Linked DNA regions of Alligator mississippiensis. The protein of the gene in region 1 purifies or fractionates together with the protein of each later gene. This does not show direct contact. Links are inferred from orthologs where the notes say so. Each region holds a gene or a part of one and is shown in the gene's direction. Other genes may lie near its edges.

Evidence for each region.
Region 2: the proteins of EGFR (region 1) and LONP1 purify together in Homo sapiens (affinity purification with mass spectrometry; 3 studies listed by BioGRID and IntAct, with this or other methods). This does not show direct contact. The link is inferred for Alligator mississippiensis from reciprocal best matches to the Homo sapiens genes EGFR and LONP1.

Annotation. Positions count from the first base shown.
Region 1 is NC_081828.1:121,541,050-121,548,108, forward strand, and holds the start of EGFR (epidermal growth factor receptor), read left to right. Parts: upstream 1-4,051; 5' UTR 4,052-4,351; coding exon 4,352-4,466; intron 4,467-7,059. UniProt on the Homo sapiens protein: Receptor tyrosine kinase binding ligands of the EGF family and activating several signaling cascades to convert extracellular cues into appropriate cellular responses.
Region 2 is NC_081839.1:11,905,062-11,912,918, reverse strand, and holds the start of LONP1 (lon protease homolog, mitochondrial), read left to right. Parts: upstream 1-4,838; 5' UTR 4,839-4,858; coding exon 4,859-5,248; intron 5,249-7,857. UniProt on the Homo sapiens protein: ATP-dependent serine protease that mediates the selective degradation of misfolded, unassembled or oxidatively damaged polypeptides as well as certain short-lived regulatory proteins in the mitochondrial matrix.

The DNA of each region.
Region 1 (7,059 bases):
GTTTAAAACGATACAACCTTAAGTACCACCAGCAAATTTTGGCATATAAAGTAATTATAATAAATCTGTTAATGCATACCGCTGACAGGTTGTCTGCATACTACTGGTGGTATACATACCACAGTTTGGGAACAGCTGGTCTCATCGTATTGTCTATGGATAACCAAATGAGTACTTGGGAGGTGGCTGCATTATACTGTAATATAATACTCAAATACTCCCTTTGAATCATACATTTTTTTGATAATATCTCCTTGGACAAATATATCTGTTAATCTGGCATCCTTTCCTGTAATACAGTGTGCAGCCTTTAATGTATGCTTAGGTTTCTTCAGATGGATGCACATCTTCCTTACAACTTGATCCTTTACCTTGGGTCTCTTATTGAAGAAATTCTTCTACTTTCCCTCTCAGTTTAATTCTATTTCTCTATTTGATACTATCAGCTTCATTTAGGTTGAATCTTACATTGTAATAACACGCAATGTAAATATTGAGCATCTCTGAAGCAAGCTATGAATGAATTTTGCTCTTAGTTACAGCTGTACAATCCATGGATGTTGGTAAAGTTGCTTGGTTGTAACTAAGTGCACAGTTTGGCTCAACATGGTTCTTCTTCACTATTTACAAGATCTAATTGCAATACAGGAAATATGAGAATAAAATACAGAACACCGAAGCTCTGTTGTGCAAAACTAATTAGCAACCTTTTCATTCCATCGAGGAAGAGCATGCAGCAACTGCTGCAGCGTCCTTAGCCTGACGAAGGGTTTTTGAACCTGAAAGCTTGCTTAATAACTATTCTCCAACCATTTGGGTTGGTCTAATAAAAGATATCAAATTCACCCAAGGAACCTTGTCTGCCTAATTAGCAACCTGATACTCTTTAAAAAGGCATTAAAATAATGATTGTAAAGATATATGGTTAAAGACACATGTTCAAGCCACTTTTTTTCCCTAAGCTAATGGAATTAAATACAATAGTGTTTCCATTGTTTAGATACGCCACTGATTAACATAAGCTAACCAAATCAAAAGTAAATATTATGAAGAAAAGTACTTGGTAGCAGTGTGACAGTGATGCAGAAAATGTGTCATAAGGGGAAGTTAAGTTATATCTGTTGGCTACTACTTTTGCAGTGCAGTGTTGTGTTTCTACAGGTCGTGATATAGAAAAGAATTGCCTATAGCAAATTAGCACCAAAGTCCCAAATCGCCATCTCATTGCCAACTTCAGTTCCTCTTTCATGGAACTCCTATTTGCCCATAACAGTTCTTAGAATGTCTACATTCCTTACAGTTTCTACAGCACCTTGAAAAGTATAATGTAATAATCCTCACAACAGCCATAAAAGGGAAATATTAACCCCATTTTACAGAAGGGGAAGTTGAGACACCAGGTAGTTAAATGGCCTCTCTACTACAATACTGAGAATCAATGACAGAATCGAGACCAAGAAGTAGGAATGTCTAGCTTCCAATTATATGCTTAGCTTGCAAGACCAGCCTTCCTTTCAACTGAAGTTGTCGTGGGACAAGACTCATACCCACCCACCCCCCAGCAAACAAAAAAATAACCCAAATGATTTAACTAAAAGTAGATTCCAGTGTAAACTGAATGGCATTTCTTAGTGGTGGAAAATAACAAATGTACTTGCTTGCCTTGCTGCTGTTTCTCCAGGGCTGGGTTTATTACTCATTTATTAAGTACTTAATAAAATGACAGGATTTGTACAACACATATTAATTATCAATGCAATGGTGTATAAACAACTGGTTACATATATGCCCAGTGCTAAGTGTATAGGGATGTCATTTAGTAGTTTAATTATATTGCTTTACTATTCTACTATTATATTTTATTTGCTATACAATAGATAGTAAATATTATGGATATCACAGTAACGCAGTATAAGCAAAGTACTAAATCTGTATAATTTATACACTATTTAATGTCTTGTCTGAGGAGGAAAATAGAAATAACAGACATGAGGCTTGATTCAAATTCCTTAGGGACATGACATTTTTACAGATTTTTTTTTTTTTAGGGGAAATTTTGATTTCTGTGAAAGGCAAAGGCCCCTATCCAGAAGACAAGTGGAAGCAGGAACATATATTTATACTATGGTAAAAAACTATTAGTCTGAAGTAAGGCCAGTGGCAAAGAGATTCTGAGTTTCCTGTGGAATAAGTGATGCACAGAAACAGTGGCATTTTTCTTAACTTTGTCCTCCTGTGTCACCAACTTTTTTAAGTAGTGGGGGTAAACGTACATGCAACGTGAGCAGGATCCATCCTGCAGAAGGCAGTGGCAAAACTCCAGTCCACTTGAGTGAGAGTAGGAGCTGGTACTGTGTCCTAATCTTTTAAATCATTAACTTCAGAAGGTAATTATTGACAAACTTGGCTTCTTCCCCCTGGGTCAGCTCCTTCTCCAAGCTTCTTAGCATTTTTTATTTCAACCTTTAGTAACACTCTATTTTGGAAGTGATGAAAACCAAGACTAATTTATCCTGTAGCTCCAATCACCCACAATTACCTTTTATCAGGTTTCTTCTCTCCCCCACCCCCTTTCTCTGATAAAGTTCTGGGCCAGCTGCTGCTATTCTCTCCTTGTAACCAGCATGATATAGCATTGCCTTTCTGCCAGCACACCTAGGCATGCACCTGAGGGAAGGGAAGGGAGTTTGATTTCCCTGGCACAAGTGGAAGGCAGGAGTCACTCCACTCAAGCCAAACTAGTTACCCATTCCCACTGGGGTTGCAGGTAGCCTCTGATATAGCCAGGGAAGGCACCAGCTCTGTGACTGGCTGAGTGAGGCAGTGGGGTCTGAGAGGTGGCTGGAATTTCACTGGTGGCTCTAGGCTGGTGATTCTCCATTGGAGGGAGAGATCCTCTCTACTGCTGTTGGGTGGGCAAACATAATTAGAAACCCAGAGGCTTCAATGATGAACCTGCAGGGCTAAACCTTGCCTGCCCTGTTGGGACCTGCTTGCCCTCTTTGCAACAGAAAAACAGTAGCAATAAGAGTAACATTGTATGCGTGACAGACCAGAAGTGATGTGAGGAGGCAAGGATTTCTGCAGGCGATCTGTTTTATTGGAGCAGCTATGGAGCTGGGATAGAATTAGACAAGATTTCAGACCTCCTTCCTGATCCTCCCCTATTCCTCCCCCTTTGATAGGCCTTGATCTCCCAGGACTTGGGTGCTTTTATCTGCTCAGTGTGTCTGCTAGACCTGCACATTTCCCCTCACCCCTCCTCTAGGATGCCTATATTCAAAGACCTAAGGAAGGTGGTCTTAAACTGGAAAGCTTCAGGGTTTGAATTACCGGGGGAGCTCCATGGCTGAGCCACCCCATAAGAGACAGAAGCCCCCCCACCCTGTAAGAGTTGAAAATCATAACTTGAGGGGAGGGTCTTCGTTTTTATTATAGCATCATGATAGGCACCCCAATTTTTTTTTTCCAGCCCCCTCCAAGAGTCAAAGTGTAATCCAGACCCTGGAAAGCTTGCCTCCCTTCATTCCGGGTGGGGGGGGGGGCAAGAAAAATATCCCCCTAGGAAATCCTGCCTAACAGGTTTGAAAGGGCACGAGGAAGCAGGGGAGGTCGCCAGAGCTGTGCTGTGAATTGGGACTGCCTTTGTGTCCCTAACCCCTATGGCTTTTCTATACAAATGTGGGAAGTCCCAATTGCAGCTGGTGCCTGTTTCTGGGAATGCAGGGTTGGCACCTCTCTTCCCCCTAGGAAGTCCTTCCTTTTGCAAGAGAACTGCTCTGTTTTCGGTCTGTGGTGGCTAAGGAAGAGCTTTTCTTGAGCGCGGGGTGGGGGCTCCAAGGGAGAGGCGCCTTGAGGGGCATGAGAGCCAGCTCCAGGCCCGGGCAAGCCGGGCCGCCTTCCGTCAGAGCTGGCCGGGAGAGGGCGCCGAGGCGCCCGGAACAGGGGGCAAAGCCCTGCTGCCCCCGAGGAGGAGCTTGTCCCCGGCTCCACCCCGCCAGGTGAGGCAGGCGGTGGGGGTGGCACCTGGCGGGGCAGCAGCGCCAGCGTCCCCGCCCCGCCGGCAGCAGGGGAAAGTTTTGGCGAGCGAGGCGGCCCGGGCGGAGCTCCCGGCGGAGGAAGACCGCAGCCACCCCCGGCCCGACCCAGCGCCCGCGTGGGGCCGGCGGCTGCGACCCGCAGCTCCCCCCTCTCCAGCCCAGCCCAGCAGCAGCGCCGCCTCCTCCCGAGTCCGTGCCCGCCCCCCTGCAGCATGGGCAGTGCAGTGGCGGCCGCCGGGAGCCCGGGCGCGCGGGGCTGAGAGCAGCAGCACCAGCCACGGGATTACAGCAGCAGCAGCGGCAGCGCCGGGATGCGGGACAGCAGGAGCCGCCGCCTGGGCGCAGGAGCCAGAGCCGGCCGGGCCGGGGCAGCCGCTATCCTGCTGCTGCTGCTCGGGCCGTGCTCCGCCGTGGAGGAGAAGAAAGGTGCGTGCAGCCCCCCAGCCGCGGGCTCCCCCCCTCGTGTGGCTCGAGGCCCCCCAGGCGGGACCCCCCATCCCTCGTTACGTTCTGTTCCCCCTGTGTTATCCTCGCTAAGTTCTGCCCCCTCTTGGAACGCTCGCTACGTTCTATTCCCCCCGCCCCGCGAACTCTCACTACGTTCTATCCCCCCCGCGGAATGCTCGCGGCGTTCTATTCCGAGCCCTTTTGGAACCCTCGCTACGTTCTGTTCCTTCCCCTCGGAACGCTCGCCGCGTTCTATATCCGCCTCTTGGAACCTTGGCTGAGTTCTGCTCCTGGCCGAGGGGCGAGCGCTACGCGCGCCGGCTGTCTTTATGAATGAGCCGCGCGTCTCTGGCGGGCTGTCAGCTGGGCGCGTGTGTGTGCGTGTCCCTGAGCGGGCCCGGGCGGTTGTGACAGGGGCTGAGGCTTCCATGGGGAACCGGTTGCAAGGCAGGAGGAGGGGGAAGAGTCCCTGGCTGGTCCGGCTGGCTCTTTTGTAAGAGCAGGCAGAGCAGCTTCGGTTCCAGGCAGAGGCGTCTTTATCTTGAACATCTGCCAAACACTTAAAAAAAAATAAAACTTTTTTTTTTTTTTTAAAGGAAAAAGCCGGGAAGGAGGGGGGAGGGGACACTTGTGGTTTTTATAAGGTCTGATGTGGGAGCTGGGCTCAAGGGGATCTGCATCTTGTGCCTGGCAAAACCATCGGGCAAAGGAGAACCCCACCTTTTTTGAAACTACTTACTAGTTGCCCTATTTGAATCCCTCAGGAGTGAGTTCATACCCGCTGTGGATATAACAAGGGCAGGTTATTTTCCCTCCTCCCCTCCTCCTCTCCCCCCTCTTTTTCCTTCCCCCTTTTCCCCCTTTTTCCTCCCTTCATTTTCCCCCCTCAACTTTTTTTTTTTAAATGAAGTAAGTGGTCTCTGCGCTGTGGCCCAGAGAAAACTCTTATCTGAGTTGCAGAGACTCTACCGGATATATATATCCCTATGGATAAACACTATAGCTTACATGCTGTTTAAAGCAAGCTTGCAAAAATCAGGTAGTAGTTGTCTTATGATTATAACGGGTTGGCAGTAAGGAAATGGGGACCAGCAGGATTTATTCTCAATGTGCTTGGTTTGGCAATAGCTCTTTGAGTCTGAAAGAGATCAAGACCTAACGTTGTTAAAAGGCAGTACTTCTTTTGGATGTCCTGTTGGCTCAGTTCATTTTTCACTGTAATGTACAGTCACTAAAGACTAGTAGGAAAGTGCTTGTTTGCGCTGCTGTTGAAGTAAATAATAAAACTACCATTGAAATTAGTAATGCAGGAATCCTGCCTTACTTGAGAATTGTAAAATAATAACTCCAAATGTTAATTCTAAGTTGTCAGAGGAAGGTTGAACCAATGTTCTTTAAGACTCCCAAACTTACCTCCTCAAAATCCTGTTGGCCTTTTGAACCCATGGACCCTGAAATGCAAAATGCAGTCGCATTGTCATGAACCTGCCCAGCAGTAGAAAATGATGAAGTGTTATAATAAACTTTTTTGGACATATGTTTTCAGTTGGAAATACTTGCAACTAAACCCATTAACAGTTTTATTTGAACATCACTACATACAAAGAGCTGATGTCTCAAAAAAGGATGCTAACACAATGTTTGTTAGAAAATTATTGAAAATGGACAAGACTTAAATTTGTTTTGATCACGGAGATCACTTTTAATAATAGTTTTTATCTTTTTCCAAAATGTTTGAAGAAAAAAACCCTTAAATATGGCCGGGGGAACAACGAAATACTTTGTGATGCTGCTGTGCTTTAAAAAACAAACAGGAATTGTGCACGTTCTGAAACCAAGCAAGATGTGGTTCTTGAAGGCTTTTATGGATTGATTAGGATTAGTCTGTAGCTTGCATACAATAGTATAAACTGAAATTATCACAATAAAATTCATTTGGTCTTTCCCTAATGCATGGATGAGATCAGAAGCTGCTGGGTGGCAATAGGAACAATATTTACTGTCTAGGGAAGCTGATCAATGGTAACTTGGAGTGTAACTGTTCAGTGGTAGCACAATTCAAATAAAGTGCTTTTCACTCTTGTATCATCAGTTTTGTGCTGGTAATTTTTATTTTCTGTTTTTGGCTATTCTACTGTGCACTGTAGCAGGGTGGATCTGACAAATCAAATCCATTTAAATCCTGATTTAAAACACAATTTAAATCATGCATCAGAAGTCTCGATTTAATCATTGTTTTCTACAAAAAGTGCATTCTTGTTGTTTGATATCCTTTATTAATTGAACTTCTTGAAACTTTGCACTTTTAGAGAAAGGTAAGGGCCTGACTGTGTGTGTACACACTTGCAGAGAGACAGAGGGCTGATGGGTAGGTAATCAGGTTTGTTATCTCTCATCTCCATATACTGCTGTTAACAAGGATGTTATCTCTGGAGACAACAAACTCAGTCTTATGCCTGAAGAAGGGCAGTTATGCCCAAAGGTTTGCAAAGAACAATTTTTCCAACTATTTAGTTGGTCTAATAAAAGATAGCACATCTGCCCAAAGAACCTTGTCTGCCTATGATCTTTG
Region 2 (7,857 bases), on another chromosome or scaffold:
AGACTGGGTTCCTGCTTTGACCCAGCCAAAGCGGCTCCGAAGCTTCAGAGCTGCCTGAGATCTGGCCATAGGGTAAAATGGGGAATCAATGAAATATCTATAACTTTGTTGTTTTTTGTCCAGTTTGGATGAAACTGGCAGGGGTGGCCTCTGCTGAGAGCATGAAGCCTGCCAAGCTTCAAAAAGATCTGTGTAGGGGTTCTGGGGGAACTGCACCCCAAATTCTTGAAAGCAAAACTCATGTCACATGTATGTATTACTCTACGGGGGGTAAAAAGTGCAGGGGTGCTAGCCCCTGGTGAGGCCACAAAGCCTGCCAAGTTTCAAAGAGATAAGTGCAGGCCTTCAGGGAGAACTGCACCTCAAGCTGTGGACAAGCAAAACTTGTGACATGGGTGACACTGTGTGTGTTAAGGCGCAGCGGGGTGAAAGCTGCAGGGATGGTAGTCCCTGCTCAGGCCACAAAACCTGCCAGCTGTCAAGGAGATGGGTGCAGGGCTTCTGGGTTCTGCCCCCCCCGCCCATCCATGGGAGCATGATGGGCCTGTGGTGGCCTGGGCATCCCCATCCATGGCAATGTGATGGGCCCATGGGGCCCGGCACCTCTAGCTGCTGACAGGCAAAACATGTGACATGGGTGCTGGTGCAACTGACTGTCTCTGTCTTGGGGCAATTGGTTGTCTGTATTGATTATTTTCTCTCTTTAGTCTGTGGTTTTGTAGGTGTTAATTAGGTGTTAACGAGTTAATTAGCAAGGATTATTGTCATGGGTTTTGCTTGTCCGCAGCTTGAGGTGCAGTTTCCTCCAAACCCCTGCACCTATCTCCTTGAAACTTGGCGGGCTTTGTGGCCTCTGTAGGGGCCACCACTCCTGCAGTTTTCACCCCCACCTCCCCCACCCCCATGGTGTAACACATACATGTGACATGAGTTTTGCTTTCAAGAATTTGGGGTGCAGTTCCCCCAGAACTCCTAAACCGATCTTCTTGAAATTTGGCAGGTATCATGTTCTCAGCAGAGGCTACCACCCCTGCCAGTTTCATCCAAATCAGACAAAAAGCAACAAGGTTATAGATATTCCATTGATTCCCCATTATACCCTATGGCTAGATCTTCAAGGCGGCTCTGAAGATTTTCCGAAGCAGTTCAGAAGCTCCGAACCACTTCGGAAAGCCTAAAGAAGCCAGCGCTTCAATCCGGACATGTTACTTCAGACGCCGAAGCATCCGAAACTTCTCCGGATCCAAAGCACGGTCCGAAGCCTCGCACAGCCCTAGTGGCTGTTGGACTTAGAAACCAAATTCCTAACTTAGTGTTTTATGAATTGACACAACACTAGGTTGATAAATAGCAGAAAGGCTTGTTTTAATAACTACCAACAAGCTACACAACTAAATAACAGAAAAGACACTTTCTCAATATAAAACAAGCTATTATTCCTTAGTATTATCTTATCTGCACAAAGATATTTACCCAATGCAGGCAGGAAGCAGATCTTGTATAGCCTCAAAGCTTGGATCCTTCACTTGTCAGCTGGGTGGCAGGATAGCTTGGTCTGGACTGCACACACCTTGCTGGCAAATCTGTTTAGTTTTTCATACTGTTTCATTGTATAGCTTCAAAGCATTTTTTCTTGATGGTTGGCTGATTTAGAGTCCAAACAAACAGGGAGCAACAGGTTGATCATCATAACACGACTGCTAATTTCCTGGCACTTGTTCTTGATTTGTCTAGGTGTGAAAACTGTGTTTTTCTGCAGCCCCTGCAATTAAAGGTCAATTTACAGGTGATGGGTTTGACTACTCCAACAGGATCCTTAGAGGCGTCAACAAACCTGTCTTTGGGTATTTGTACATCAATGGGGCAAATGTGCAGTAGCTTATATCGCTGATGTTCTGTTTCATGGTATGTCTGGAGTTCTATAATGATCGAGACATTGTAACACCTTAGAGTGACATTTGATGCCTGTTTTGAGAAATCTGAGGATGTCAGTACAGAACATCCTCTCTATATTCAAGCAGACAAGGTTCTTTGGGTGAATGTGGTATCTTTTATTAGACCAACTTAATTAGTTGGAAAACAATTATTAAGCAAGCTTTGGGTTCAAAAACCCTTCGTCAGGCTAAGGAAATTTCAGCAGTTGGTGTGTGCGCTTCCTGGATGGAATGAAAAAGTAAAGAAGCCAGAGGCTGGGCTGGTATGCATGCAAGACAGGTAGTCAGTGAAAATGTAAATTGAGGAGTCAATGGGTGAGAGACAAGCTGGAGGGGGGGAGGGGGGGAGAAGAGAAAAGGGGGATGAATAGTGGAAAGATACCTGGGGAGTCAGATGTCAGGCAGGTTATAATGTGTCATAAATCCAATGTCTATAATTAGTCCATGATTTTTAGTATCCAGCAGGTTGATGAAGTGGAGTTCATAGGCTCGTCTCTGGGAAGTGTTGTGTAAGTTTCCTTTGAGGATCAGGACTGAGAGATTGGAGAGAGAGTGGCTTTCTTGTGAGAAATCATGGACTAAATATAGACATAATCATGGACGTTACCCCCCCCCCGCCGCCCCTCCAACCTCTCACCCATTGACTCCTCAATCTACATTTTCACTGACTACCTGTCTTGTATGCATACCAGCCCAGGCTCTGGCTTCTTTACTTTTTCATTCCATCCAGGAAGAGCACACACCAACTGCAGAAACTTCCTTAGCCCAATGAAGGGTTTTTGAACTTGAAAGCTTGCTTAATAATTGTTTTCCAACTATTTAAGTTGGTCTAACAAAAGATATCAGATTCACTCAAAGAACCTTGTCTGCCTATGTCCTTAGACCAACAGGGCTACAACCTACATCACTATATTCAATGCACCTTTTACAGGTTTCTTTTGAGATGTGTATTTAGCCTTTTGTCTTCTTTAGCTTCTAGGTCAATTGAAATGCATATGTAGTTTCTTTGCCTTTACTGGCTCACTGGCCCAGCTTTTCCTTTGGCTCTCTTAGCTTGGAAATACACGTGATGAGTGTGTTAGGACTCTGCAAACAATTTTACCTTTATTTTTATTACTTTATGGCATGGGTCTGGTATTGGGTACCACAAGCACTCCACTGTCTTGACGCCTAATGGGTTGCAAGCCATTAGCGGAGTTTGATATTTTTTTCTTTTTTTTTTCTTGTGGCAGTCTTGTTACCGCAATCCCGTCTTGCCCCAGCCATTGTCTTGTACACCCATCCAAGCTTTCAGTTTTCAGATGCAGCAGCGGCCTACACTGGCCCCAGCTTTTTGAGGGAAAGGCATCAAGATGGTAGAGATGTTGAGGGGTGTGTACACCACCCAGCCTGGGCCCAACTAGGCTACTGTTTCCTAATGGTGGGTCTTTCCCAGGAAAAGATAAGCAATTGTGAAGTGGCCTGGGTTGCTGCAGTACAGAGATCCGCTGATCACCTTCTGCCCTTTTCTGCCTTGTTCAAGAGGGACTGCCTGGTCAACTTGCATTTGCTTCTGGGGAAGTTAATTCAAGGAGAGCAAGGAAGTAGCGTTCACGGGTTAGTGTCACCCTCTTAGGGTCCTTGCCCACTCCAGTCTCCATAGATAGGCAATGGTCCCTCTGAACGCAGGTTCACCTCCTCGCTCGGTCCCTGGTGGAAGTGGAAGAACGAAGCAGCTCCATTCCATTGGTGTCAACAGCTAGTTATTGGAAATCAGCTGTACGTTGGCTTATAGACAGCTTATAGATATGTTGGCCCCAGCATCTGAAGGGCCATTTCTGCCATTTGTGAACTGTAGGGACTTGGCATACGACACCAACACGGCCTGACAGAAGCCCTCCAGAAGGCTCGGGAGGGGGCTGGAGTGTTGCAGGAGAGCGGAGGCCGGGGCCAGGACACCTCCTGTTAGTAAACTAATCAGCCCCACCATGGTGTTGGTGGAGTGCGTTTGGGAGCACAGGCAGCACTGATTCACCAACACCCAGTCTTTTTGGCTCGCTACCAAACACTGAGGTAGTGCAACCTGAGGTCCATGGAAGTAGGAGCACTTGGAGCAGGGATTACAGCTGCTGCCGGCAGCTCTGGCTTCAGCTTGAAGATGCCATGTCCATGCTGTGGGGCAGCAGGGCCCACCTTTTTGGCAGCTGTGCCACAAATTAGCCTCCCATCCTCCCCAAATGCCTCACAGCTTCTTGCACAACTGCAAAGTGCCCTAACCTGCTGCAGGTAAAGCACAGGGACAACTGCCGCAATGACCTAACAACGTGTTATTGTAACCTTATCCTACTTCAGCTCCGTTTCCCCTTTTAAGAGATCGAAGCGCACATACAGCGCTTGGAAAGGGTACAACTCATGACCAAGTTAACCTGAACTCTGGGTTAACCACGTGTTTTACCAGTAGATAGAAAACAAATCATTAGGGGTCACGAGTCAGGCCTGTGGTGCAGGGTGGGGAGAGGCTGCGGGGCAGGACCAGGCTCGGGATCACCGAAGGGCTGACGCGCAGCTGGCGACCCGTGCCCGGGGCCCCGGAGTCCGAGCCCGAGCCCAGCGCAGCGGGAAGGCCGCGGAGGCACCGCCCGCACCACAGCGAGGCGACGGGTGTCCCGCGCGCGCCACGGACGGGCGGGGCCCCGCGGGACACGTGACGCGGCGCCGAGCACGCAGGCCCACGCCGCGGGCAGCCCCCGGGACGGAGCAGCCGGAAACGACGAACCGCAGCCCGCGGCTTGGCCCCGCCCCCGGCAGTCCCGGCCCTCGCGCGCCTGCGCGCACACGTTCGGCCGCGCTCGGACGGAACCGGCGCCCCCACGCGAGGGGGAGGGGGCGTCATTCGCGTGCGCCGCCTCGTGGGCGGAAGTACGTGTTCCCGGCGCGCGGGCAAGATGGCGGCGGCGCGCTGCTTGTCCGTGTGGCGGTGCTGGCGGCCGGGGCTGCGCGGGGTCCTTCCCTCGCTCGGGGCGGCGCGGCGGCGGGTCTACGCGGCGTGTTCCTCCGCATCGCCGTGGGCGCCGAGTCCTCCGTGTTCCTCTCCCCTCGTCGCCTCGAGCCTCGGCCCCCGGCGGTACATGCGGGGCCTCAGCAGCCTGGGCGGCGGCGGCGACGGGCTGGAGGGCGGCGGGGCCGAGGATGGGGCCGCGGGGGGCAACGGCGGCGGGGCGGGGCCGGTCATGACCGCGCTCACCCCGCTGCTCATCCCCGAGCACTTCCCCAACGTGCCGCTCATCGCCGTGACCCGGAACCCGGTCTTCCCGCGCTTCATCAAGATCATTGAGGTAACGGCTGCACGTAGCCCCTTCCCTCTGCGCCTCCCGGCCGGGCTCTTCTCCCCGCTCCGCCAGGGCCGGCCTGTGCCCTCAGTTGCTGGGCTGCACCCTGTACCGCGGCGCTGAAACTCCTTGTGAGCCCTTGTCATGGGAGCTTCTTCCTGCAGCCGCCTCGGTTCCTGCTTCATCGGGGTAACCCCCACCCTCACCAGCGCCTTCTGCATTTGCTCGCAGGAGAGCCTGGTGCTCCTCTTCCCATGGGCTCAGCTCCACTGCCATCTTCAGCTGAGATATGGGAGCAACAAGGCTCTCATACGAAGGTGGGAACAGAAGCGCTTCTGCTGCTGCTTTAGGTGATTGCTCCTGTGGGCATGGAGATCACTTAATGTAGATCTGTTTGTCTCCTGGATCTGAGTTAGTCTCCTGTTTCATGCAGAGCATGAAACTCTCTGCTGGCCGGGTCGGAAGGAGTGTGTTAAGCAGGGGAAGCCGGAGGGCTTGCAGAAAGCTGGCTTAGTTAGTATTAAATACATTTGTGCGCCGCTCCCCCATCCCATTATGCTGTTGCATTAGTGTGCTTCCTTCCACCTATTGCAGTATATGTTAAGCCTGGACCTGTACACAGATTATGTACAGGTATAGCCATCAGTTATGTTCCCCAGGTGACCCCCTTGGAAAAACACTTAAACAGTACAACCGTAGTACAGAAGGCAGAGTAGAGATGCACCTTATCGACTAACTCAAGGATGTGTAATTTTCATCTTCAAGAGTGAAGGGAGGGAAATTGGGAGACATTTGCCTGTCTCAGCACTAACTAATAAACCTATAGGGATATAGGGGTCAAAAAAGCTATGATCCTGTGGCTTTGTTACTTGTTTATATCTCATCACAATGTCCGGTTGGCAGCCGGTCCAGCCCCTCCCACTGGGAAGACCCTGGCTCAGCCTCTGGCCCCAGCCCACCCTCACCCCATGCACAGATTCAGGGGACACATGCCCCCCATGCCTCCCCCGGGGTGCAAGCTGCAGCAGGAGTCGCACCCCTCTGTAGCCCCCCGGATGAGCCACAGATCCATCCTGCACCCCACACTGCCCTGACTGTGCAGCACCTGCCCCAGCCCTCCCTCCCTCCCTCCCTCACTGCGGGAGCCTCAAGCTGTGCCCCTGCCCCCGCAAGCCCTTGACTTTACTTAATAACACCATTTGATTTAATTATTAGAGCAGAGGACTAAGACCTGGGATTCTTGGGTTCACTCTTAGCTCTGTCGCTAACTTTCCAAGGGACCTTGAGTAAATCACTTCACTTGTTTATGCTTTTTTTTCCCCATTTGTAAATGGAAATGATCATTATCTTTGTTATTGGGTGGAGAAATGAGGTAAACAGTATACAGTGCTCTGAGATTTTAAAAGAAAACAAAAATCCTTATTTATTCAAATACAAGATAAAGGTTTACTCTAATGCAGGGCTAGGCTTTTTCCTCAATGAGCATGGGGGACAATGATTAAATGCAGCCAACACTGAGCATGGCTTGGCTATAAAACATGTGGCCTATAGTGGGCAAACACACACGGAATATTTTTGTTAAAGAATAAAAAAAATAAAAATTAGAAACACCCTTATCATTATTGACTCCAAGATGAACATGAGCCACCAGTGCCAGACCACAGCCAGCAAAGCTAGCCATACCTTGTCATGCATCCAAAGGTGCGTCTCAAGCTGGTCCAGAGAGGTGATACTCCCCCTCTATGCGACTTTGGTCAGGCCGCAGTTGGAGTACTGCATCTAGTACTGGGCGCCGCACTTCAAAAGGGATGTGGCCAGCCTGGTGAGGGTTCAGAGGAGGGCCACCCAGTGGCTTGGTGAGAGGGCAGCAGGACAGGCCGGATGAGGAGAGACTGAGGGACCTGAACCTGTTCAGCCTCAGCAAGAGGAGGCTGAGGGGAGACCTGGTGGCTGCCTACAAACTCATCAGGGGAGATCAACAGCAAAAAGGTTAGAGCCCTTTGCTCCCCAGCACCACCTGGGGTGACAAGGAACAATGGTAATAAGCTGATGGAGAACAGGTTTAGGTTAGAGATCAGAAGGCAATATTTTACAGTTAGGGTGGCCAAAACCTGGAACCAACTTCCCAGGGAAGTGGTCCTCGCCCCTACCTTGGGCAAATTCAAGAGGATGTTGGACGATCACCTGTCTGGGGTCTTGTGAACCCAGCATTCATTCCTGCCTGTGGCAGGGGGTCAGGCTAGATGACCTGTTCAGGTTCCTCCTGACCCTAGCTACTATGAAACATATATCGACTTCTCACAAAAAAGTCCCTTACAGAACTCTTTCTTCATGCAGAACCCCATGAAACTACTACCTCAGCAACCATCTGAAACTCTCCATCTGTCCTGTCGGTTCCCTCTGTCAGTTTAGTGAAACAAGTGTATCCATTCCTTTTCTTCCGCTTCTCTGCCTGTTCTTCTCTGATCTCTTCCTTGTCCTGACCAATGTAGTATTTCAAGTCATGCAGCCCCAGCTTCAGCTACTCTTTCAATGAAAGCCAACCCCTGAAGAAAACAAAGACTTATTACTTTCCATAAACTGGTTTTAAAACATGTTAATAAAGTCTTTAATAA